Notamacropus eugenii: one gene and its partner. The protein of the gene in region 1 purifies or fractionates together with the protein of each later gene. This does not show direct contact. Links are inferred from orthologs where the notes say so. Each region holds a gene or a part of one and is shown on either strand. Other genes may lie near its edges.

Region 1 (12,036 bases):
GCTGGATTTGAAATTAGGTCTTCCTAACTCCAGGCCCAGCACTGTATATACACTGCACCATCTATTATTCCTGTTTTATAGATTAGGAAACTGAGACTCCAAGAGCCTAACAAGCACCAGAGGTGGGATTCAAACCCAGTCTCCCTCCTGTCTCCAAGTCCAGGACTTAATCTATACCACACTGCCTCTCTTAGTACCCCACCCCACCATGAGCTAACCACTAGAATCAGCAGTCCTACTCTGATAACACATTGGTGCCTCAGCAGCAAAAGACCTTCCAAGTTCTAGAGCTAGGAGACAGTCTTTTGTATGGGGCCCAGGCCTTTCATCATCTTCCTTGGACTAACCCATAATCCCATAAATTGACTCTGCTCTGCAATTTAGCAAGCCACAGACTCAGAACTCTTCATTAGAGGGAAGACGAGCAAGAGAGAGAAAGGTATGTTCCTTAAATGCACATAGCCATTAGAACATATGTGATCTTAATGTGTCACTCCCTACACAACCACCCCACAGGAGGGCATAACTAGTTTGACTTGATATTAATAATAATTATTATTATAGCAATAGTAATAGCATTTATATCGTGCTTTGAGGTATACAAAGAACTTCACATATATTAATCCATTTGATCCTCACAATAACCCTAGACTTTATCCATATTGCCACCTAGTTGTCTCACCTTACCCTTGGTGGAAGGCTGGAGGGGGAGAAGGAGAGGAAGGATATCCACCCAAGCCAGAAATGGGGAACCTGCAGCCCTGAAGCCACATGTGGCCCTCTACGTCCTCAAGGCTGAAGTTTCCTATCCCTGACCCAAGCCCTGGGCTCCTTCTCCTCCCTATAGGATTAACCATTTCCACCTCCTTTCGTTGACTTCACCTTGAACACGTCAGTAACCATTTGCATATAACTTAGCAATACTTTTGCAAGCAATTGTTATAATGTTACATAGACAGTTATCCTTCATTCTCTGCCTAAGGACTGCTAGATAGAACATTGGCTAGAAGCCTGGGCCAGGAGGCAGAAAGACTTGAGTTCAAATTCAGCCTCAGACATTCCCTAGCTGTGTGACCCTGGGCAACTCACTTAACCTGTTTGTCTCAGTTTCCTCAACTGCAAAATGGAGATAATAAAAGCACCTATCTCTCAAGGTTGTTGTGAGGATCTTTTGAGATATTAATAAAATGCTTAGCAAAAAGACTGGCACGTAGTAGGCACTATATACATGCTTATTCCCTCACTCCAGATTCTAATCTCTGGGGAGATCCACCTGAGCTTGGAAATGTTGAAACAATCTAACCTGGGAAAATGACCAGTTGATATTCTTCATTCTGAGAGACAGACAGACAGACAGAGACAAGGGGAGAGAGAGAGAGAGAGAGGGAGGGAGGGAGGGAGAGAGAGAGGGAGGGAGACAAAGGGAGGGAGGAGGAGGGAGAGGGAGAGGGAGAGAGGGAGAGGGAAAGGGAGAGACAGAGAGAGACTACAGCTGAAGCGTGAGGAATAAAATTAAATTAAAATGGAGATGGAATCCCATGGGAAAAATTGATCAGAACAATTTACTAATTTCTACTACTTTCTTTTCTCCCTCTCTTCTCCCCCAAATAAGAGAGGAAAGGTTTCATTTCATGATAGATCCCCTTCCAGAAGCAGGGCTCCTTGTGGTTCAAGTCCTTGGATTAACCACTGAGTGTTCAGTCACTGTCTCTCCTTTCGGGATTTTGTTTTGTTCACTGTAAAATGATTGAAGTTGGCATGATCTCTGCGAAAATCCCTGCCAGAGCTTTATTTTCACAATGAAAAAAAAAAGTTTCTCCTTTAATTGTTCCTCAGAACTTAAGGTCAGGGCTCTATGTGGCCTCTCTCTTCCAGTGACATCACTGCCTGCTTTGCTTTCCCAGGATGTGACATCATCAGTTCCCATAGGGCGCTATTCCATCCCTGCCTCATAATGTGAGAGGAAATGGTAGTATCCATGAATGAGTATTATTAGGAAGAGCCTTTATTTTCCCCAAGTTTTCATATGGTGCAAGTAACTATTATCCTTTAGGAGCTGGTTCCTACCCCTCCCCCCTCACAAAAGCCCTGCTTTTTTAAACTAAAATGTTGACTTTTTTTAAAGAAACTTGGATTTCAAAATTTTCTCCTTTTTTATGCTCATATCTATGCCTGTCAATGAAAGTCAAAATAAATCCTTTTTTTTTTTTTTAATGAAGAGGCCAGACATGAGAATTATGGTATTTTTTTTATCTTTATTCACACCTTTCCATGAGTTTCTAAGAGCTCTGGCAACACTGTCCTGGCCTGAGGTCAGAAACTCCAGGTTCTGTAATCTTGGGTCCTCAAGAAGGAAACTGAATTGTGATAGGTCTAGGGATGAGATTTAGGATTTCACTGGTCTAGGGTATTGGTGAGGAAATTCCCTCTACTAATATAACTTGTCACTTTCCCTGAAATTTATAGTGTAATAAAGAATTGCCAAGAGCATTGATTGGTTAAGTAACTTGATCACATAGCCAATACAAGTGAGAGGTAAGACGTGAACTTAGGTCTTCCTTGGCCACCACACAAGAAAATAGTGCACTAGGCCAGTTTTGATGAACAGATGCAGGAGAATGCTGCATTTTTTAACAGGTTCCAAGGCAAGCCAGCTTGACTGTTGCACCCCAAAAGAGGACTATAATGTTATCAAGCTGCTTTGCAGATTTTGGACCCCCAACTTGACAATGGTATACAGATGTTGCTGTAAATTCATCTAGAAGCTAAAGTCACACAGTCTATCGGGAAAGTTTCAGATAGAACTTGCTCACGTCCCAGGGCAGAGACTGCCACCTGCTGAAAGGTAACTCCAACCTTACTGAAGGACTGGTTTAAAAAATAAAAAATAATCATTGATAGCTAAAGCAACTCGACTCCCTGACTTCACAAGTAGAAGCTAAGTGTCTCAAATACACCTGCTACATGGATACTGGTGACCAGTCTTAAAGAAAAGATAGCTTAAAAGTGAATACAACAAAAGATGAACTTATCGGCCATGAAGGGGTTAAGGAACACTAGAATAATACCCACCCCATCAGAAGACTGTGTCTTCTCCTCCTAGAGAACTTTGAGAATGGAACTGCTGCCCATCAATCTAAGGGGATTTAGGAACAGCCTTGCCAAAAAGCAGGATAAATGACCTTTAGGGTTGCTTCCAACCCAAGAATTCTGAGAGCTTCTGGAAAACCCCAGTAAAAACCCAAACCCAGCACAAGCCAACTTGTGACAGTTTTCAAAAAGACATAAAATTTTGGGTAGTTCCTGGATGGAGAACATAAGCAAAGCTCAAAGGTGCCCCATCTATAACAAAGAAATCAAGATACTACTAAGGTAAATCTGAGAAGCATCAGACTTTGTGAAGTAAGATTAACTTCTTTAAAAAAAAACAAAAAACTAATGCAGAGCCTTCTAAAAAAGATCTATTTGAAAAATATAGGCATTACCAAACCAGAAGCAACATTGTTGCTCCAAGTCTTCCGTCCTAGGGAGTTACAATCTTACTCTACTGGAATTTTCTCAAACTCAGGAGGACATTCTAGATGTCAGTAATACTCCATTTGCTCAGAGGTGTGAAGGCTGGGTAATGGAGATGAAAGGGTGAAGTATCAACCAGTCTCTTCCTTCTCACCTTCTCCCAAGAGTACTTTGTATCTCTCCTTTACCCCTCTATGGAGTTCTGCCTTATATCATATTTATATAGGCATCACATACACACTTTGAGATTGTAAGCTCTGAGGGGGTTTTGATCCTAGCAACATCTGCACCGTTAACTCAAATACACAACAGAAGCTTACATAGGAGAAAATCTCCTCAGTTTAAGAATCCGATCCACAGTAAGAAAGAGTAAAATGATAATGTCATTCAACATAATGGATATGGACTTCCAGGACAAAAGTAAGGAGGCAGAGAGTGGTAGGTTTCTTCCACCTAAGCCCAGAACTCAGTGGAGCAAAGAACCTGACAGGCTGGAAAGGAACCTGCAGAGATCTTACTGGCAAAAGTATCTCCCTTAGGACACGTTTAGAAGACTCCCCCGGATCCCTACAGGAAGTTGTTGCCGGGAAGATGCTCTCCCCACGCATGTTCTGAGCAAGAGTGGGTTTTCCAAAAGCTACTCGTATCCCCCTCCCCACCCCAGATACACACACACACACACACACACCCCACCCCCAGCCTCCGTCCCAGGTCTATCCATCAGCATCATCAGTTGGACAGATGACTTCACCACTCAAACAGACAAGGCCAGACACTTGCCAATTCCTAAGCCAAAAAAAGAAGTAAAGAAGTAGGGGGGAGGGGAATTTAGGGAAAGGGGGACGTGTTAGGATCTAGAGAAGGGATCTGAGTGTCCCCAGTGGATTCCAGCGCTCCTAAGAAACTCGCCAGCAACATTCTCCCCTAACGCTCCACTAGCCCACGAGACCGCAAGTAGCAAATGGGAACCTGGGCTAGTCCCCATTCCGTGCCCAGCCCCGACCTCGGACCCAGCCGGGGGCCCTACTCACATAATGCTTGGAGGGGTTTCTCCTCTTCTCCACATCCACCACGGTGGCATCCTGCACCGCGTAGGCAAGCATCTTCTCCCCGCTGCTGGCTGCACGCCCCGCCCGCTCCGACTCTTCCTTCCCTTCCCTCCCTTTCCCTCTCCTGGCCGGGAGACTTCAGCTCCTCATCCTGCCTGGGGCTGCCCAGGACAGGACTGCAGCCGCGGCTCTTCCTCCGGGGCTCCCGCGGCCCCTACTGCCCCCGGGGAAGATGGCCAGGAGAGCGGGGAGGCAGGCAGGGGGGCACTCCACGCGCACAGGTAGCTGCCCCGGGGAGGCGGAGGACGCGTCCCCGGCTGGAGCCTGGTCCTGGCCCGAGGGTGTGGGCGGGGCGGCCCAGGTCGGGGGTCTTCCTGCCTCCCCGGGCTGGCGGGCTCCTTCCTCCGCTCCAGCTCGCTCCCTAGCTCGCTCGCTGCCTCCCTCCCGCCGGAGCCGCAGCTGCAGCCTCCCACTCCGGCCGAGTCCCGCGGAAACTGGGGGAGGAGACGACGGGGGAGTGTCCTGCCTGCGGGGGAGGGGGCGGAGGCTGCAGGCCGAGCGCCCGCTGTCAGGGGGGTGGGCGGGGAGGGGGCGGCGGGCGAGGGCGAGGGCGACTGGGGCTGGAGGAGCTGCGGGCGGAGGGCCGGGGCCGGAGAAGGGGCGGGCTGGAGGCGAGAGGGGAAACGCGAGGGGAGGGGCTCCGGGGCCGGGGGCGGGGCTGGGGAGGACGAGGAAGGGGCTGCGACCGGGGACTGGGTAGGGAGCGACCTGTAAAGCAGTCCGCACCCACTCAGGAGCCGAGGTAGAGGGGGAGGGGGTGTGTGTGTGTGTGTGTGTGTGTGTGTGTGCGTGTGTGTGTGTCTGTCTGTCAGTGTCTGTGTCTGTCCGTGTCTGTGTCTGTGTCTGTGTGTCTGTGTGAAGTTACTAGGAAGGGAGAGGGACAATTATAGGAGGGAGGGGAGAGGGGTTCCAAACCATCAGGCCTGGGGTGGTAACCACGCCCTATTCCCACCATTGCCAGCTTCGGTGTTAGAGCAGAGACTATTTGTGGTAAGGGTCACCCTGTCGTAGTACCTAATGCCCTGGCTACACACCAGCTCTGCACTCCTTTAAAGGATCGTTTTCGTCTAAAATAAATAGTGTGTGCTGCCGGAGCAGCTCAGTGCAGTTCTAAGAGCCCTAGTCTGAGACCTGGGTCCTACTAGCTGCTCGACCCTTGCACCTCTGTACTGCTGCATCAATGGGAGGTGAACTAAATCAAGAAGTCTAAATCTAGGGTCAGTTAACTTTTTAAATGTGTGTATACATATTTCGATATAATTGGTTTCCTTTGTGATCCTATGTATTTCATGCATTTAAAAGTATTTAGAATAAGCTTCCAATAAGCTTCACCAGATCCCAAAGGGATCCATGATAAAAAAAAAAAGTTAACCCTTGGACTAAATGATGCTTAAAGATCCTTTTCAGCTGCAATTTAGTATGTTCTTATCTACAGAACCTGGGGAAGAGAAAGTCATGTGGTGAGAATGGAGGAGCCCATGCATGCCAATGAGCTTTGGTAAAGAGTTGCTCCCGCGGCTTGCTAATTCTTCTCTGACCGGATCGATTCACCGTCATTCATTCACTGGGCTTTTGCTAGTGTAGAGACCATGTTAACTTTTAATAAAATAAGAACACTACCAATTACAGTTAAAGGGGAAGGGCAGAGGGATACAGAACACAACCGTGAGGAAGGAAAACTATTCCAAACACCTTCAGGGTTCTAGATTTGAGGTGTGATATGTGATCCCTAAAGTGTAACCAGCAGTCATTCTGTAGTGAGAAGGGCCAGTCTTTTCTTAGCCCCTACAGCATAACTGCTGGGCTACCCCATACCCTACATTAATTTAATTCAACAAACATTTCCTGAGGACTATTGATGTCCAGTTCATTCTCTTTTAAAATATTCAAAAGGGCAGTGGTTTTCCATAATATTTTAGTAGTTTCACAATTTTAACATGAACTTATGAATTTGGACTGATGGAGGAAGGTCTGAATTGTGAAATGATGGGATTTTTTTTAAAGCATCATTATCATTGGGCTTGCTTAATATTTTGTACTTAACACTGTTAGGATCCAAGCTACTGCAGACCCCCAGCCCACCTTTGGAAACTCTTGTCACCAATCTCTTGGTCTTTGAGGAGAGACAACAAACACTCCTTATGCCAGTAAGCCTCTATACCAACTTCAGAAAGTCATGTAATATCCCTAGACCTCAGTTCCATTTTTAAAATGAAGTTGACCTAGATGATTTCTTAAGGTTTCATCCAGTACTGGTATTTTTTTTGATTCTAACCTTCTATGCATCTAACTGAAAGGCAGTGTGGTGTAATAGACAGAAAGCCTCTTGGCATAAGGAAGACCTGGGTTCAGATCTACCTCTGGAACATATTTGTTTTGCCTCAAAACAAGCCATCAAACCAATTACTACCTCAGGGAAAGCATAAATTACAAAGCAGTTGCCAATAGGTTTCAACAGAGAATTTCCTCACTAGGAATTCCTCACACCAGTGATATTGAGCTGAAAAAGAACCAGGGGTCACCAAACCCTACGTAAGGATCACTGTAGGCTACAAATTGAGTTAGAAAACCGTTTGTATTTGTTCATTTGTTTATTAATTTATTCCTTTGTTTTGCTGTATATTCCCCAATTACATATTAATCTGGTTCAGGCACCAACTGCCCTCATTGTGTTGTGGGCCATGTGTTTGATACCTCTGCCCTACACCAATGAAATCCCACTGCATCTCTCCTCCTAAAAAAGGCTCTAAATAAAATGCCCAGCCCCTTATTAGGGGCTACATGATCCCTTACTGGTTCCTATCCACACAGAACTTATAGTCTAATTGGGGAGATGAGATAGTGACAACTAAAGAATATAATTTAGTATAATACCTCCCATAGCTCACATTATATGATTTACAAAGCACTCTTCTTACAACACCCACCCTGGGAGGTAGAGAGAGCATTTAATAAATGAGTCAAGTAATGTTCAAAACTATTAAGTGAATTGCCTGCATGGTCTTATAGCTGGGAAAGGTCGAAGACAGTGCCCAGAAACTGATTTCAGACTCTAAGTCCAATGCCTCACTAACTCATGGAGAACAAGACAATAACTTGAAATTCAAAAACCAGCAATCAGCAAGAACTAGAATGGTTCAGACAAGACTTCACTCAGCTAGGACCTGAGCCTATGGTAAGTATTATGGTAAGTCTTGAGAATGGGTAAGTATTTTGGCTGGACTGGAAATGACATCTCCCTCCTCTTAGTTCCTTTATCACTTATTAACTACAGTATTCACATAGCATTTACTTTATTATAATTATTTACATATGCCATCCCCCCACTAATTGGTATTGCTAGAGGATAGCAGTAGTGTCTCATAATGATGTTAAAGTTGGAGAGACAGGGTTGGATCCAATTCTAGAAAGTCTGGATAACCAGACAAGAGGAATTTGAAATTGATGAGGTTGATCTTGTGAAAGCTAGGCTTTGGGGAGACAGTTCCAGCAGCAGGATGGATGATGGGCTGAAGGAAAGAGACAATCCTTTCTCCTCCTAGTGAGAAGAGTCTGTTCTTCAAAAGGGTGTTCCCCAATCCCAGAGAATTATTGTCCTCAGAAACTGGGATGTGGTGTGAGAAACTGGGAACTGAACCATCTCAGAGAACTTCATGACTTTTAAATAAAGAGTCTAGAGAACCCTTGATAAACACTGTATAATAATACTCTGATCTTCACCTATGGTTTTCAGAGCACTAATTAAGCCTCAAAAGTTTGTGGTGAGGTGAGAAAGAATCTGTGCCAATGGGAATAAAGTCAGCGAGGTGAGGTTAACTTACCCTGGATGTATCTTCTCATCCTCAGAAGATGTTTCCTTTCCCGTCTCTGGCCTTTGATCTAACTCATACTTAATTTTAATAAAATTTTCACTTCATACTATTTTGTTTTTTCTAATTACACATAAAAATAATTTTCATTTTGATAAGATTTAAAGTTCCAAATTTTTCTCCCTCCTTCCCTAAGACAACAAACAATCTGATATAGGTTATACATGTGCAATCTTGTTAAACATATTTCTGCATTAGTCAGGTTGTGAAAGAAGAATCAGAACAAAAGAGGAAAACCACGAGAAAGAAAAGGACAAAAACAAAAAAAGGGAAAATAGTCGGCTTCGATCTGCATTCAGGCTCCATAGTTCTTTCTCTGGATGTGGATGGCATTTTCCATCATGAGTCTTTTGGAATTGTCCTAGATCATTGTCTTCCTGAGGAGAGCTAAGTCTACCATAGCTGATCATCTTACAATGTTGCTGTTACTGTACAATGTTTTCCTGGTTCTGCTCACTTCACTCAGCATCAATTTATCTAAGTTTTTCCAGGCTTTTTCTGAAAAACTTCCCGCTCATCATTTCTTATGGCACAATAGTATTCCATTATATTCATATACTACAACTTGTTCAGCCATTCCCCAATTGCTAGACATCCCTTCAATTTCCAATTCTTTACCACCACAAAAAGAACTGCTATATTTTTGTACATGTGGGTCCCTTTCCCTTTTAATGATCTCTTTGGGATACAGACCTAGTAGTGGGGTGTGTGTGTGTCTGTGTGTCTGTGTGTGTGTCTGTGTGTCTGTGTGTGTATGTATCTGTGTGTCTGTCCTTCATTGCTGAATAAGACTATGCCATCAGAGAAATAATGATATGACTTGTACTTGACTCTGTTTTGAGTGAGGAAGGGCTGTCTAGGTCACCAGCCTCATTTCTCCTCCAGAGCCAGGTGAATCCAGTGACCAGATATTCATCAAGATGACTGGAGATGACCCAAGATGAGGCAGTTGGGGTTAAGTGACTTATCCAAGGTCACATAGTGAGTGTCAAGTGGCTGAGGTGAAATTTGAACTCAGGTCCTCCTGACTCCTGTACTGGTGCTCTATCCACTGTACCACCTAGCTGCCCACTAGTAGTGGTATTGCTGGATTATGCACAGTTTTATAGCCCTTTAAGCATAGTTCCAAATTATTCTCTGGAATGGTTGGATCAGTTCACAACTCCACCAACAATGCATAAGTATTCCAAATCTCCCACATCTTTGCCAACATTTATCATTTTCCTTTTCTGTACTATTAGTCAATCTTATAGGTATGAGATGGTACCTCAAAGTTGTTTTGATTTGCAGTTCTCTAATCAATAGTGATTTAGAACATTTTTCATATGACTGTAGATAGTTTTAATTTATCTGAAAACTGCCTGTTCATATTTTGACAATTTATCAATTGAGGAATAACTTGTATTCTTATACGTTTGTCTCAGTTCTCTATATATTGGAGAAAAGAGGCCTCTAACTCATACTTAAAGGTTATTTAAAGAAGGAGGGTTTGGAAATGATAGAACTTAGCTTAAAACAGAAGCATGGTAAAGGGAGTCATTTACAGTCTGTACTTGATAATACAGTTCATGTTTTGGCTCCATCCTGCATAAAGCATTGGCCTGAGCTGGTACAGTAACAGCAGTACTAGGCAGAAAATTGGGAGATGTTTTTATCCTGGCTCTGCCATTCAATAACCATGTGACTTTGAGTAAGTCACTCCCCACTCATGGTCTTTAGATTCCTCATGTGTCTAATGAAGCAGTTAAACTAATTGGTGGCTAAGGTCTCTTATTAACTTAATGATCTATAATAGTGAGCTCCAAGTTTTTTTGATTTTTTTTTTTACCACACCTGTAAAAATATTTTGACCATCCCCAATCCATGTATATGTACTTATTTATGTATTATCTATGTACACACATATATGTATATACACACATGCATATATAATTATATTATGAAACTTACACAAAAATAGACTTTTAAAAATATGAGATAAAGATGTAGTATTGTTTCATCCTATCATCAATAAGGAGTCAATGGGGGTTTACTGAGAAGGGTGACATAATCAAACCTGTACTCTAGGAAAATCACTTTGGCAGCTCAGTGGAGGATAGATTGAAGAGGGGAAAGACTTGAGTCAGGAAAGCCAATTTGAGGCCACTAGAGTAATCCTGGGAATGAGAGGAGATGATGTCCTGAACAAGGTGGCAATGTGGATAGAGAAACAAACGTGAGAGACACTATGATGGTAGAAATGACAAAATTTGGCAACTGATGGATCAATGGTGGTCCCTCAGCAGTAATAAGGAAGTTTGAAAGGGAGTGAGTTTCAGGGAAAGATCGTGGATGAGATTGGTAATGTGAATTGATGCCTCCTCATCCTGTGTTTCACCAAAAATGAAATTGGGACAGGATTTTTACTCATCAGCTTCTACAACCCACTCAAAGCCCAATGCCTCCCATAGACAAGAGGTTTGGGGACACTGAGGGGAAGTGTAATTTTCCTATGAAGCTTCTGGTGGAAGTGGGAAGGGTTACTGGGTCAAGTTAGGTTACAGCCATACTAAGGGTCTGGTGCCTTCCATGAGAAGGGGCTAAGTCAGAAAGGATTGAGATAATGGGTGAGGGGAGTGGTGCATTTGTCAGGTAGTCAACAAACATCAATATGTCAGGCACTGTGCTAATTGTTAAAGATGCAAAGAAAGACAAAATTAGTCCTTGACCTCAAGGAACTCACAATCAAATGGGAGAGACAACATGCAAACAGCTACGGACACATACACAAGATGTAAGTAGAATAAATTAGAGATAATCTCAGAGGAAAGACACTAGCATTAAGGGGGACCAGAAAAGGCTTTTTGCAGGGATTTTGACTGAGATTTGAAGAAAGCCAAAACTCTCTGGCATTGGGAGCAGGGGTAGGATGGGCAGAACACTACTTCTTACAGAAGTAGGATGTTTTTATTATAGATAGGTGCAAGATTGGCTATCTCCTTAAGGAGAGCCTGTGTGCCACCTTTCTAACTGTCTGATTTCCACTATGGGATTATTCCATGGTCCCCTAGGAATAATCAATATCACTCCACCACACTTTGGAAACCACTGATCTACAAATTAAAAATCCTAGTCATTTCTGCAAGGTGGAGTTTGGAGAAGTGTCCCACCCCAGAAATACTCTCAGCTCAGAATAAGATATCCTTTAAGCATTTCAGTGGGTGGCTTGTGTAGTCATTGAGCCTATTTCAGAAAGAGTTGACTCTTATATTTCATGTTGTATGTAAAAAGCAGAGAAGTGGCATTTAATAAGAAGAGTTTTAGGGAAAAGATTCTTCAAACTGTAAGGAAGATAGATTGAAGATCCTAGATCTTTCTCCTCTAGGCATATATATCCACCTTGAGTAAATCACTTTTCTGGGTCTCGGTATTTCTACTGTAAAATGGAGACAATCATTTCATTTTTGTCTTTGTCTCTCTGGCAAGATACTTTACCTCATCTTTACCTCAATTTGAAGGTATTTATCTTCAATTTACTCATTGAAGTAAATTTACCTCAATTT
Region 2 (12,272 bases), on another chromosome or scaffold:
CCCAGAAGGACTTGCTACAATCTCTTTCGAAACCCCTGATCCAACCAGGGAAGGAGGGTGACAAGTAAAAAACCAGTGACCTGCCAAAGTGGGGTGGCAACTCCCCTAAATGCATACACATCTTTCCAGGGAAGGCCCCTCCCCACCATGGCATTCAGAATGGGGCCTTCTAGAGATGCCTTCAAGGAGAGGGGTGGCCTGGAGCCTTGGAGAGTGCTTCACCCTGGTCCCGAGTGACAGGTGTTTCCATCCCCCAGCCAGGGCCCCTCAGCCCCACCAGGCAAACATCTGGCCAGCTGCAGCTCAACATCTGTCTAAAGCATTATGGAAAGTGGGGATGGTGACTCAGACCTTGGCAACTTAAAGGTACAGGGTCCCTTTTCCTGGAGAGTTGGGGAGGAGCCTAAGCCAGACTTGGCAGTAGGCCTTCCCCCTCCCTCTTCTTCCCCGATGTTCCACAAGAGAGACTGGGCCTGCACACCCAGCTGCTGTAATTGGAGTCCCAGGCCTAGACACAGACTGGGTACCCAAGAGGGAAATTTGGGTCTGATTCACTTTCCAGATACGGGTAAAAGGGCATTTTGCAGACCTGAGCACTCAAGCAGAAGACCGGGCGGGCCCTTTGAGGACTGGGCACATTCATTTCCTTTCGTGCCCAGTCTGGATGGTCCCTGGCATCTGACCCTTCTCTACCCAGCTGACTTAGCTCCCTTGACTCCAGCTGGAAATCTGAGTTCCTTCCCACCATGGTCCCACTCCTATGAGCCACCAAACCCAGGGACCCCAAACCTAGACTCAGACTCCTGGTGCATGTCCAACTGGATGACCCTTCAGGGCCTTCCGTGGGCCTCTCCATTCCAATCCAGCCATTCCTTGCTTGGCCCAGGATGGAAAGCCCGCCACAATCTAGCCCCCTTTCCAACCTTTTCCAACATTACTCAGCCTTCCGGTCAAACTGGCTCATTTACCATTCCTTGAGCCTGACCATCTCCTGCCTCCTGGCCTTTGCCAGGCTGTTCCCAACCCCCACCTCCCACCCCCACCATTCTCATTGTCATCTCTTCAAAGCCTCTCCTTCCTCCAAGGCTTAAGGGTCTGGGAACCAGTGACTCCCCTCTCAGTCTCTTCCCCCCAACCCCTCCTTCCCAGCGCACTTAAGAAACGTTTCAACTGAATGGAACCTTAGAGAGCATCTAGCACAAACCCCTCATTTTAGAGACGGAAACAGGCTCAGAGAGAAAGGGACTTGACCAAGGTCATAGCTAGCAGCAAAGGCAGGATTGTGGCAAATCCTGTGTTCAGTGCTTGTGGTCCACAAGGTGTTGAGGATGGCTGAACAAACGAGAGCGTCTTAGTCTGAATCATTATCATTTTCTCATCACTTTGTGAAGTCTAGAAACCAACAAGCCAGTCGTTGTGCAAGGGGCGGGATCTGCCTTCAGAGGTGGCAATGGTCATGCTGACCATTGGGTGTTCCTCCCAACTGGCCCCTTCCTGAGGGCTGGGCTGCTCTCGCTCACTCCCGCCATCTCCCCCATGGTGGAGACCTGGGGGCTGGGAAGCCAAGGGGCCCAAGTCTGGTCCAGTGTAGGCCCAGCTCTGCCTGAGGCTCACTTTGGGAATGCTAAGGGGGCTGTGAAGGCCATCCTGAGGCTCTTCTCAGGAGTGCTCCCCCTTTTCCTTCCATGCCTCTGTCCTCCTCCAGAAGCCAATCAGCTCTGGCTAGTGCACTGCCCTTCAGCACATATCCCTTCTCTCCACACATGCACACAGCAGTCAGTGGCCTTTATGCACACTTCCTAGTTTCTCACACTCTGTCCTGGTTCCATCACATCCCCATAGCTGACAGATGGGGGTACTGAGGCATGTCAGATCTCCTGACTGCCAGGCTAGGCAAAGAAAACCCCAAAACTGCTCTCCCCTACCAAGACTCCTCTTCCTCTAGACAGAAGTTTCCTGAGGAGGAGACCTGTAGAGTCTGGCCAAAGGAGGCGCCAGCCCCAATCTGGGACCAGAGCCATATCTGGGGAAGCTCCTTTTCCCCGTCTGTGCTCGCCTGTCCTGGCCACACTCACTGATCAGAGCCTCAGTCTCCTTCTCTGAATAATGGGGAGAAACCGATGTGCATGGCTGACCTTTCTAGGGCTCCTGGGAGGAAAGCACTTTGCAAATCTTGAAAAGACGTTCTTCTATCTGCTCTCCTGTTGGGGGTGTAAGCTCAGTTCCATGTGGACAGTCTCGGGCAGGTAAAGGTAAGGACTTCTAAACCTTAGAGTTCTCATGAGGCCCCCCAGGGAACAGCAGGGAATTGAGGTGTGAGATCGGGCTATCTCGTGCATTTCCGCCTCTTCCCTTGGGAAATGTGCTGGGGAAGAGCATCCCCGCCCTCGAGATTAATCCATAGTCCGAGCACACCTATTGTTGTCTAACAGGCACGGTATTCAGGTGCAAACTATGGGGCGGGAGAGCTTAAGTAGGGTCAGGAAAGCCTGAAGGCGCTCTTAGCGCTGAGGGGCCCTTAGAGGACAGAAGGCCCCTCTTCCCTCTCCCCTCTCCCACTTCCACTTCCATTCTCTTACTGTAAGATCTTTGCCTCCTTGGGAAGAGGATTCCTCTCTCCTAAGGAAGAATTTACCCTGCACATGTAACCAAGACCCTGAATAAAGCCTAACCCTTGTTCGACTCTGGAAAGTCTCTTCTCTCATACGTTTATCCGGTTTGGCCAGCCGAAGACCTGCGATAGGTAAGGTAAGACTTGGGTAGCCCTTAGGCCTCTAGGCCTGACACTCTCCAAGTAGCTCAAAGGCAGATATCCTTAATTCAGATCTGGGGCTCTTTAGGCAGCTGGTTATAGCCCATACCCTGGATGCCAGCCATCTCCCCCATCCCCTAATTTGAAGGGCCCTGAGCATCTTCATCAGGTGGCCTTTTCCAACAGAAAGAGCTTTATCCTTGGGGGGCAAGGTATTTAAATGCAGATATCTGTCCCTTCCTCCCCTCCTACAGTGCTGCCTCCCTCCCCTCCCCCCCTACCCTGTCTCTGCCAAGGAGAAGGAGGATTCTTTGTAGGGAATGGTGGAGGGTGGAGGGCATCTCAGCTGAAAGTTAGAATAAGATAGAGTTACTCAGGGAAACTGAGGGAGGGCCTTTAGGGACCATCATTTTATAGTGAGAAACTGACCCAGAGAAGCTGGGGTGAGGTCTATTGGGTTAGAACTGGGAAGGGACCTCAGAGGTCCTCTAGGTCCAAGTCTTTGGTTTACAGATGAGGAGCCTGGAGACTTGAGAAGAGGCAAGGAGGGGGCTGAGCTCAGACCCCACAGCCTCCCTGCCCCTGAAGCCTCCCCCACTCAAGGTTCCAACTTCATGCTAGTGACAACTCTGGACCTGAAGCAGAAGCCCCCTGGGATCTAGGCCAGACCTTCCACCCTCACCTCCTTTGGCCAGGTTTAGCCCATTTGGCACAGCTCTCTGCTCCAGGCTGGCCCAATGCCGCTGGGCAGCCAGAATCCACTAATCCTTCAAGACTACCTCTAGGAAAGGCCTTTTTGCCAGCTCTCTCGACAGGCCTAGGGCCCTGGTCAAGGTCAGGCTAAGTGTGGTAGGAAGGAGCTGCCACTTCCTGGGCTCCTACTACCTTTCAGGCCACTGGACAAGAGGTGGAGATGGGGAAGTTGGGTCTGGGTTTGGCATAGGGAGAGGCCAGGTTCTGATGGAATGTGCTTGAGGGCCCACAGGATCACAGGGTCTCTGGTACTACAGACAAGCAGCTCTGTACTTAGCTGCTGGATTCTCATCATTAAGAAAGGTTGGAGCCTAAATTGGTTTCTCTATCAGTCCCGTCGTTTCCCCCTCCCCCTCCCCCATGCTGGCACCAAGCAAGAGATGAGGCTCTTAACTCCCCCCTCTCCCATGGCACAGACCTTGCCCCCCCCCCCAATGGAGGGCCCCACCTGAACAACAGTCCAGCTGTGTCTGAGCCAGGCATGGGGACATGAGGAGCGGGCACATCCCTGTTGCTGTGGGACCCTGACCCTCCAGCATGGACTTCTATATGAGCTGCTCTCCCTGAGCTTGTGGTCTCCAGCTTCTTTTAGGAAAAGTGAAGCCAGGGCCTGGGTGTCCCCCCTGCTCTGACTCCCTGGTCCTGGGTGCACATGGGTCCTGAAAGTTTTCTTTGCCCACAGTGACCAGAGGATCCAAATTGTAGTGACTGGTAGGGACCAACCTCTTTGTGAACAGGAATCCCCGAAGGGTCTCAGTTTCCTTCCTCTGTAAAATGAAGGAGTTGACGCCCCCCAGGGGGATGGGGGGGGAGGAGAGGAGGAGGGGGAGAAGAGAGTAGAGTAGGGGAGGGAACCCCTGGCTCACTTGCCCACCTGTCCATCCCTCTGCCCATCTGTCTGCCCCCCCTCCCCCCCTCCCCCCATCCTCCCTCTCTGGCCACCTGCCGGGTTCCCCCACCCCCCGCAGTCCGAACCCCGAGTGTTCCCCCCCACCCCATGCCCGGCTCACTCACCAGGCCGGGCCTGGGCCCCCTCGATGTGGCAGGAGAAGCGGCCGGGCCGCGGGGGCCGCGGGGGCCCCGGACTCCCTGGGGGGGCGGCCCCGCCACTGCCCTGCATCCCGCCGCCGCCGCCGCCGCCGCCGCCGCGCCTGCTGCCCTCCTCCTCCTCCTCCTCCCGCCGCAGCTCCCGGCGCCCGGACCCCGGCGTCCCCGGCGCCCGGCCGCCCGCTAGGGCCGACCTGCACCCCCCGTGCACGGGGGGCGGGGGCTGCGGGGAGCCGCCGAGCGGGGCATGGCGGGGCCGGGCCTGGGGGAGGGGGCCGGGGCCGGGGCGCGACGTAGATCCGGGCGCGGCGGCTCCGGGGGGCGGCGCCCCCTCCCCGGTATCCGGGGAGGAAGCTGCCGGCGGCTGGCCCCGCAAGGGGCAGGGCCGCGGAGGCGGGCTCTTCGGGGGAAGGGGGCGCCTGCGCAGGGGCCCGGGGACTCCCCTAAACCCCGAGCGGCTCCCTCGCAGCCCAGTCCGAAGAGGACGCGGCCCCTCCCTCCCCAGCCTCCGCCGATCGGCCCCTCCCCCTGCCTCCAAGGCCCCCTCCCCATCGGCCCCTCCCCCTGCCTCCAGCCCCCTCTCCCCACCATGGGCCCTACTTCCACAGGCTCCCCTCTCCTGCTCCTCTTAACCCTCCACCGGTTTACACTTGTCTGGCCACTCTCACTCGTGGGTCCTTGGTTGCAACAAAAGCCCACTAGAAGCATATGTGTTTATTTGTGTACTCACTCGATCACACATGTGTGAGTCTGGACCCTGTGTCAGTGTGTATGTCTGGGGGGGGGCAAGGGACTTGATCTCTGTGGGGGAGGGGAGAGGAGAGGGCAAGTGTTCTTTTGTAAGTCTGTGTGTGTCTGGGTCTGGCTGGGGGCGGGAAGGTATGGCCCAGGGTTCCTCAGACTTCTCTGAATCCTCCCACCCGAAGTCCATCGGATCATGCGAGTGCAGCAGGAACTGAGGAGGCTGGAGGAAGGTAGTGTCTGGGCACATAGATTTCTGTGGCTGCGCCACACCAGGGGTCAGGCAAGACCAGCCCCCAGGCCCTCCATTTGGCTGGCTGTCCTGCTCAGACCTGCCTATGTCCTCTCATCTCTCTGGAGACCCAAGGTCCCAGGTTTGGGTCATGACACTCCCTAGGTAGGGGAAAGGAAACGGATGTATCAAGTGCCCACACTGTGCTAAGAGCTTTCCAAACACTATGTCATTTGGCTCCTCTCAGCAACCCTGAGAACGCGAGGCTACTATGATACCAATTTTACAGGTGTGGGGGGGCAGGGGGAGAGGGAGGGGGAGAACTGAGGCAGACATCAGACTTGCCCTTGGTCACCCAACTAGAAAGTGTCTGAGATTAGATTGAAACTCAGGTCTTTCCTGACTCCAGGCCTAGCCTATGGAAGCTGGCCAAGGGTGTCCCTTTGTGGCCTGCTCACATCTTTGCCTTCATACTCACTCTCCAAACTGCCAAGAGCTAGGGAATGACCAGGGCCTTGAGAGCTTGAAGCTATGAGTCGTGCAAGGGGCCAGCGATTCCCATTCCTCCCTCCCATTGTTTCTGTGAGCTTTAAGTGGGAGAGTCAGGGTTCATTCATCCACTTTCTGCCCTCCATCCCAGGCAGTCATGGGAACTGGGCAGCTAGAGACACCATAGTTAGTCCCAGTGCCATATTTGGGGTGATTCCATTTCACCCCCTAGGTTCAGTTAGAACCCAGCCAGGTACCCTCTAGGACCAGTGGCAGGACAGCAGCACACTTACAACCCTGCACAGTGCCTGGTTCCCAGTGTACTCTTAATTGAGTGTCAAGAAGCTTGAGTTGGTAGCTCAAGCAGGGCGCCATCTGGTGGTCATCTTTGGTATTGTATGTGTCTAATTAAAACTTCCTCTCAGGATCATTAATTACTTCAGTGACATCTAGTTAGAACCCTAGCTACGATAAAGTGTCACATTTATAAAGCATTTTAGGTTTGTAAAAGTACTTCACATATGTAGCCTGTGGGCTACTCAGACCCAGAGTTCTGTTTATTCTTGAGGGAATCTCCCAACAAAATGTCTTCTTGACCCTAACACAGTGTTTCCCTTTGTAACATCAGCGTTTGACTCATGTCTGGGAATATGAAACTATGGGGATGATCTTGGTGCCCTTCCCTCCCATGTAAAGCCAAGCTAAGATACCACTGAATCTAAATCCGATTTCACTGAAGCTGAGCAAAGCAGGCACATTCAAGCCTGGCTCTGGGCCATCTAGCTGCCCCATAGTGGTGTGCTGGCAAACGTTTAACAACTGGCTCCCCCCAAAAGAGAGAAAGGCATGCAGGACACACTTTGAAGTTTAATGTGCATTCTGTGCATTTTCAGCATCACTTTCTTAACAGTAAATCAAGCCTGATTTGTAGTGTCTGCCAATCTTTTCTTTCTTCCTTCCTTTCTTTCTTTCTCCCTCCCTTCTCTTTCTTCCTTCCTTCCTCCTTTCTTTCCTCTTTCCTTCCTTCCTCCTTCCTTCCTTTCTTCCTTTCTTTCTTTTTCCCTCCCTTCTCTTTCTTCCTTCCTTCCTCCTTTCTTTCTTTCTTCTTTCCTTCCTTTCTTTCTTCCTTTCTTCCTTCCGTTCTTCCTTTCTTCCTTCCTTTCTTCCTTTCTTTCTTTCCTCTTTCCTTTCTTCCTTCCTTTCTTCCTTTCTTCCTTCCTTTCTTCCTTTCTTCCTTCCTTTCTTCCTTCCTTCCTTCCTTTCTTTCTCTCTTCCTTCCTTCCTTCCTTCCTTTCTCTCTTTCTTCCTTCCTTTCTTCCTTCCTTCCTTTCTTCCTTCCTTCCTTCCTTTCTTTCTCTTTCTTCCTTCCTTCCTTCCTTTCTCTCTTTCTTCCTTCCTTCCTTTCTTCCTTCCTTCCTTCCTTCCTTCCTTCCTTCCTTCCTTCCTTCCTTTCTTTCTCTTCCTTCCTTCCTTTCTCTCTTTCTTCCTTTCTTTCTTCCTTTCTTCCTTCCTTCCTTCCTTCCTTCCTTCCTTCCTTTCTTTCTCTTTCTTCCTTCCTTCCTTCCTTTCTCTCTTTCTTCCTTCCTTTCTTCCTTCCTTCCTTCCTTCCTTCCTTCCTTCCTTCCTTTCTTTCTTCCTTTCTTTCTTTCTTCCTTCCTTCCTTTCTTCCTTCCTTCTTTTCTTCCTTCCTTCCTTCCTTTCTTCCTTCCTTCCTTTCTTTCTTTCTTCCTTCCTTCCTTCCTTCCTTCCTTCCTTCCTTCCTTCCTTCCTTCCTTCCTTCCTTCCTTCCTTTCTTCTTGTCTTTCTTCCTTCCTGTCTTCCTTTCTGTCTTTCTTTTTCTTCCTTCATTCCACCAAGGAATTTTATTTTTCATCTTTAAAAATCACTTCAATTTATGATTTATTTTTTGAAATTCTTTTCTTTTTAACTTTTGAGCTCCAAATTCTCTCCCTTCCTCGCACCCCTCCCCCACCTACTGAGAAGACAAATAGTAAGATACCAATTATACATCTGAGATCATGCAAGACGTATGTCCATACTAGCTACATGTCCGAAAAAGTGGGAAGAATGGAGAAAGTGAGACAATGACACTCCGGTTTGCGCTCAGAGCCCATCCGTTTTCTCTCTGGAGGTGCACAGCCTGTTCTCATCGAGTCCTTCAGAATTGTCTAGGATCAGTGTATTTGTCCGAGTAGCCAAGTCTTTCACAGGTGATCGTCATTACAATACTGCTGTTACTGTGCCCAATGAGCACCTGAGTGTGTGTGTATGTGTGTGTGTGTGTGTGTGTGTGTGTGTGTGAGTGTGTGTGTGTGAGTGTGTGTGTGTGTGTAGTCTTGCATCTTTGAACTAATTCAAATGATAGTGAGGTTCAAACATTGCCCACTCCTCCCCCCCCCCCCCATTTTCCCCTTCATTGTAAAAACTCTTCCCTATGTGTCTCTTTTACGCGATAACATTTTCCCCATTCTAACTAGCATTTTTCTTTCAGGCTTTGTTTGCGGCTGTTTTCACATTGTTGTCTTCTGAGTTTCCGGCTTGGTCTTCCCCTCCACCACTGAAGCGCAGTGTTGCTATTTGCTGATTTTCGCAGGCTATTTCTTGACTGAATTTTTGTTGAAGTTGGGCTCTGCTCCCCTGGGGGTGGGGAAGCCTTATCCGGAGCTGCAGATTTGTGCTGCTGTCTGCAAGTTTTCAGCGTTTCCAAGGTGTCCCCAGATCTGGGGAGAGAGATGGTCACTGTTCTCCTGCTGCCTTCTCTCCTGTCTGCAGATTTCAGAGACGGAAATGTTCACAACTCTGCCTTCTCTGTCTCTCTAATACACAAAATACAGAATATTGTATGATATCATTAACATGTAATATCATTAATATATAACATTTACATAATACAAATCTACTAATATTGTATAATGCTTACATTATGACATCTTATTAATATATAGTATCTTGTTGATATAGAATTCATTAATATTGATAATATATGATTCATCCACCAAGCATTTATTAAACAGCCAATCATTGCAGAGGTCAACAAGCATCATTTTTGCCCATCCAGGAGCTTATAATCTGGAGAAAGGGTGGGGACTCGCAGTCAGAAGTAAAACCATAGTAAATGCCAGCAGAGAGATGGCAGAGGGTTGGGTGTACCATTCTACTCTGTGTCATCTCACCCCTCCCCCAGGGTTCTTCCATACTCTTAAGGGGAAGGCAGGCATCTAGGCTCCAGCCAGATGTCAATGACTCCAGCTCCCACAGATGGTATATCTTCCTGCACCCCAGTTCCATTTAGCCACTTAACAGTTGTATTGGCTTATGCAGAGGAATATTTAGTTCAAAGGTACTGTCACAAACATACAAAGGCACTCCATAACACATGGAAGGTAAGACAATCTACACATCCCTCTCTACACACTACCTTAATCTCTGGGAAGGGTTCACAGTTTAGCTCATTTCCCATAAAACACAGCCCCAAGTTCCACGTCTAAACATCCCCTTCTGCTTCAGTCCCAGATTCCCTGGCTTCTCTGGGTTTCCCTGCCCAGATATCTGACTGCAACATCCCACCAGCGGCTCCAAAGTCTCTCCATGGCCCAAGCTCCCAGGTCTAGTGAGGATCACTACCTATACCTGAAACTAATAAGAACAAAATACATAGAAGAGAAGCAAACAACACCAGGTCCATTTCTCAGTAAAAGGAGAGAGAGGGGGAGATATCCCCCACTTTCTGGTTCAGTTCACGGCACCCACACTATGGGTGAACTGTCAGCCTCTGGACGCAGCAGGAAAGAGCCACTGAACCATTCTGGCACTTTTAAAGATGTGACTTTTGTTAAGAAATGATGAAGGGGATGGTTTCAGAAAAACCTGGGAAGATGTATTTGAATTGATGCAAAGTGAAGTGAGAAGAACCAGGAGAACATTGTACCCAATAAGAACAAAATTGTAGCAATTATCAACTGTGAATGACTTAGTTACTCTGAGTAGCTACTTAAAGAAGCCTATTGAATGGGTATATCTCACTCAAAGTGATCATAAATATCAGGCCACTGGACCCAGATGGCTCAGGACAAGAAAGTGAGGCAGGTGACCTTGCACAGCCTTCCCTCACTCAAATCAGAGTCAACTGCAAGTCATGTCATCATCTTGATGTCATGGTCCTTTTTAAGAATGAAGGACAAACGCAACAGTTACTCTGATCAATGCAATAATTCAAGACAATCCCAAAGGATTTATGATGAAATTATATTATTACCCAGAATTCAAAGTTTACCTTTAGCTACGTGGGTTCTCTACATCACTTGATTCATTACTGCGTGCTCTGTGTTGGAGCCTGCTCTCCCTTTGGACTCTGTGCATTTGTGGGAGATGTGCCTTAGGGTTTCTGGGGGAACTGTTTTGTACCGACTGTTCCTTCTGTAGCTTAGAGAATCCTGTTTGAAAAGTCAGTTCCAGCTGATAATCAATATGGAGCAAACTAGCTGGAAGGTCTGGTTCAAGTGCTAGAAACCGCCCAGACAGACTTGGGGCTTACTCCTAGTACCCTCAAAAGGAGCTGAACCTTTGACATTCTGGTGAGGACTTCTCTGAACAGTCCTCCCAAGTCTATACCACTCTATGGTTTAGACAGCAAATACGCCTGTTACTGGTCAGAGAACTCACTGGACTAATGTGGGTGAGTTGGGGAGGAGGCAATAGTGCTGCCAAAGTCTAGATCCCCCAACTCCTTCCTATGATATACTATGGGAACCACCTGGCTGATTTTCTCCTCTCTTGAAGGCTGGATCTAGGATTCTCTTCTTGCCAGAATTCTCATTCCTAACCTCTTTAACAAGGCTGCTGCTGCTGTCCAGGAAAACAGCCTACCACGGCCAGGAATCTCGATTCGGGGAGCTCCGGATCCTGACTTCTCTACCCAAGAGGCTGAGGTTCAGAAGCACTGGCTGCACCCCCCTTCTGGGTTGAGTGGACAAGCCTGGCTGTTCTGTCCTATGTGTCTGCAGGAAGTCTATTGATGCCATCTATGGTGTGGGGAAAAGCCATTCTTAGGATTTTGTATCTTGGGCCAAGTAGTCACACACACAGACACCACACACACTCCCCCCCACAACATGCTACACACCACACAAATAACACAGCACACTCAAACACACAACACACCATATACCACACACCACACACCACAAACACGTAGACCACATACCACTTCCCCCACACATCATGCACCAAACAACACATACCACACACAACACCACACACAACACATACAACATACAATCACCACACACATAACACACAGCACACATAACACACAAACACACAACACATACAGCACACAACACACATATGCACCATACACCACACACACAACACATACCACACACAACAAAAAACACCTACCACAACACAACCACCACACCCCACACACAACACACACACCACCACCATCACACTACACAGCACATGCACACCATACACCACATACAAACACACCACATACTGCACATAACACAAACCACATGCTGCACACAACACACAATACATACCATATAACACACACTTACACATCATATACCACACAAACAACACATACCACACACAACACAACATATATCATACAACAGTACCACAACACACAACCACTACACACAACATGCACAGCACACACAACACACAACACAAAAACACACCACACCACAACACACATCCAACAACACAACCCATATATAGCACAAGCCATACAAACACAATAGCACTCACAACACACACCATGTACCATACACACACCACAAACACAACCCACACAACAACATAACACATACCAACACAACACATATACATGCAACGCATAACACAACAAACAACATACACCACAATACATACCACAACACACAACCACCACGCACACAACATACACAAATCACCACCACCACCAAACCACACACAACGAATAAACACACAATACCAACACACAACGTACATACACACCATATACCACACACAACACATACCACACACATACATACCGTACACAACATATACCCAACACAGCCACCACACATACCACACACACCACCACCACACCACACACAACACACATAACACACGCGCACCACACAGAAACACACCACACATCATGTACCACACACCACACAAAAACATAACACATACCACACACAATACACACATACACATTATACACCACACACAACACATAAAAAACACAAAAACATACCACAACACACATCTATTACACCC

The links.
Region 2: the proteins of SH3PXD2A (region 1) and FGD1 purify together in Homo sapiens (affinity purification with mass spectrometry; 3 studies listed by BioGRID and IntAct, with this or other methods). This does not show direct contact. The link is inferred for Notamacropus eugenii from reciprocal best matches to the Homo sapiens genes SH3PXD2A and FGD1.

Annotation. Positions count from the first base shown.
Region 1 is NC_092872.1:182,100,144-182,112,179, forward strand, and holds the start of SH3PXD2A (SH3 and PX domain-containing protein 2A), read right to left. Parts: upstream 5,059-12,036; 5' UTR 4,620-5,058; coding exon 4,548-4,619; intron 1-4,547. UniProt on the Homo sapiens protein: Adapter protein involved in invadopodia and podosome formation, extracellular matrix degradation and invasiveness of some cancer cells. Binds matrix metalloproteinases (ADAMs), NADPH oxidases (NOXs) and phosphoinositides.
Region 2 is NC_092879.1:102,632,252-102,644,523, forward strand, and holds the start of FGD1 (FYVE, RhoGEF and PH domain-containing protein 1), read right to left. Parts: upstream 4,659-12,272; 5' UTR 4,626-4,658; coding exon 4,520-4,625; intron 1-4,519. UniProt on the Homo sapiens protein: Activates CDC42, a member of the Ras-like family of Rho- and Rac proteins, by exchanging bound GDP for free GTP. Plays a role in regulating the actin cytoskeleton and cell shape.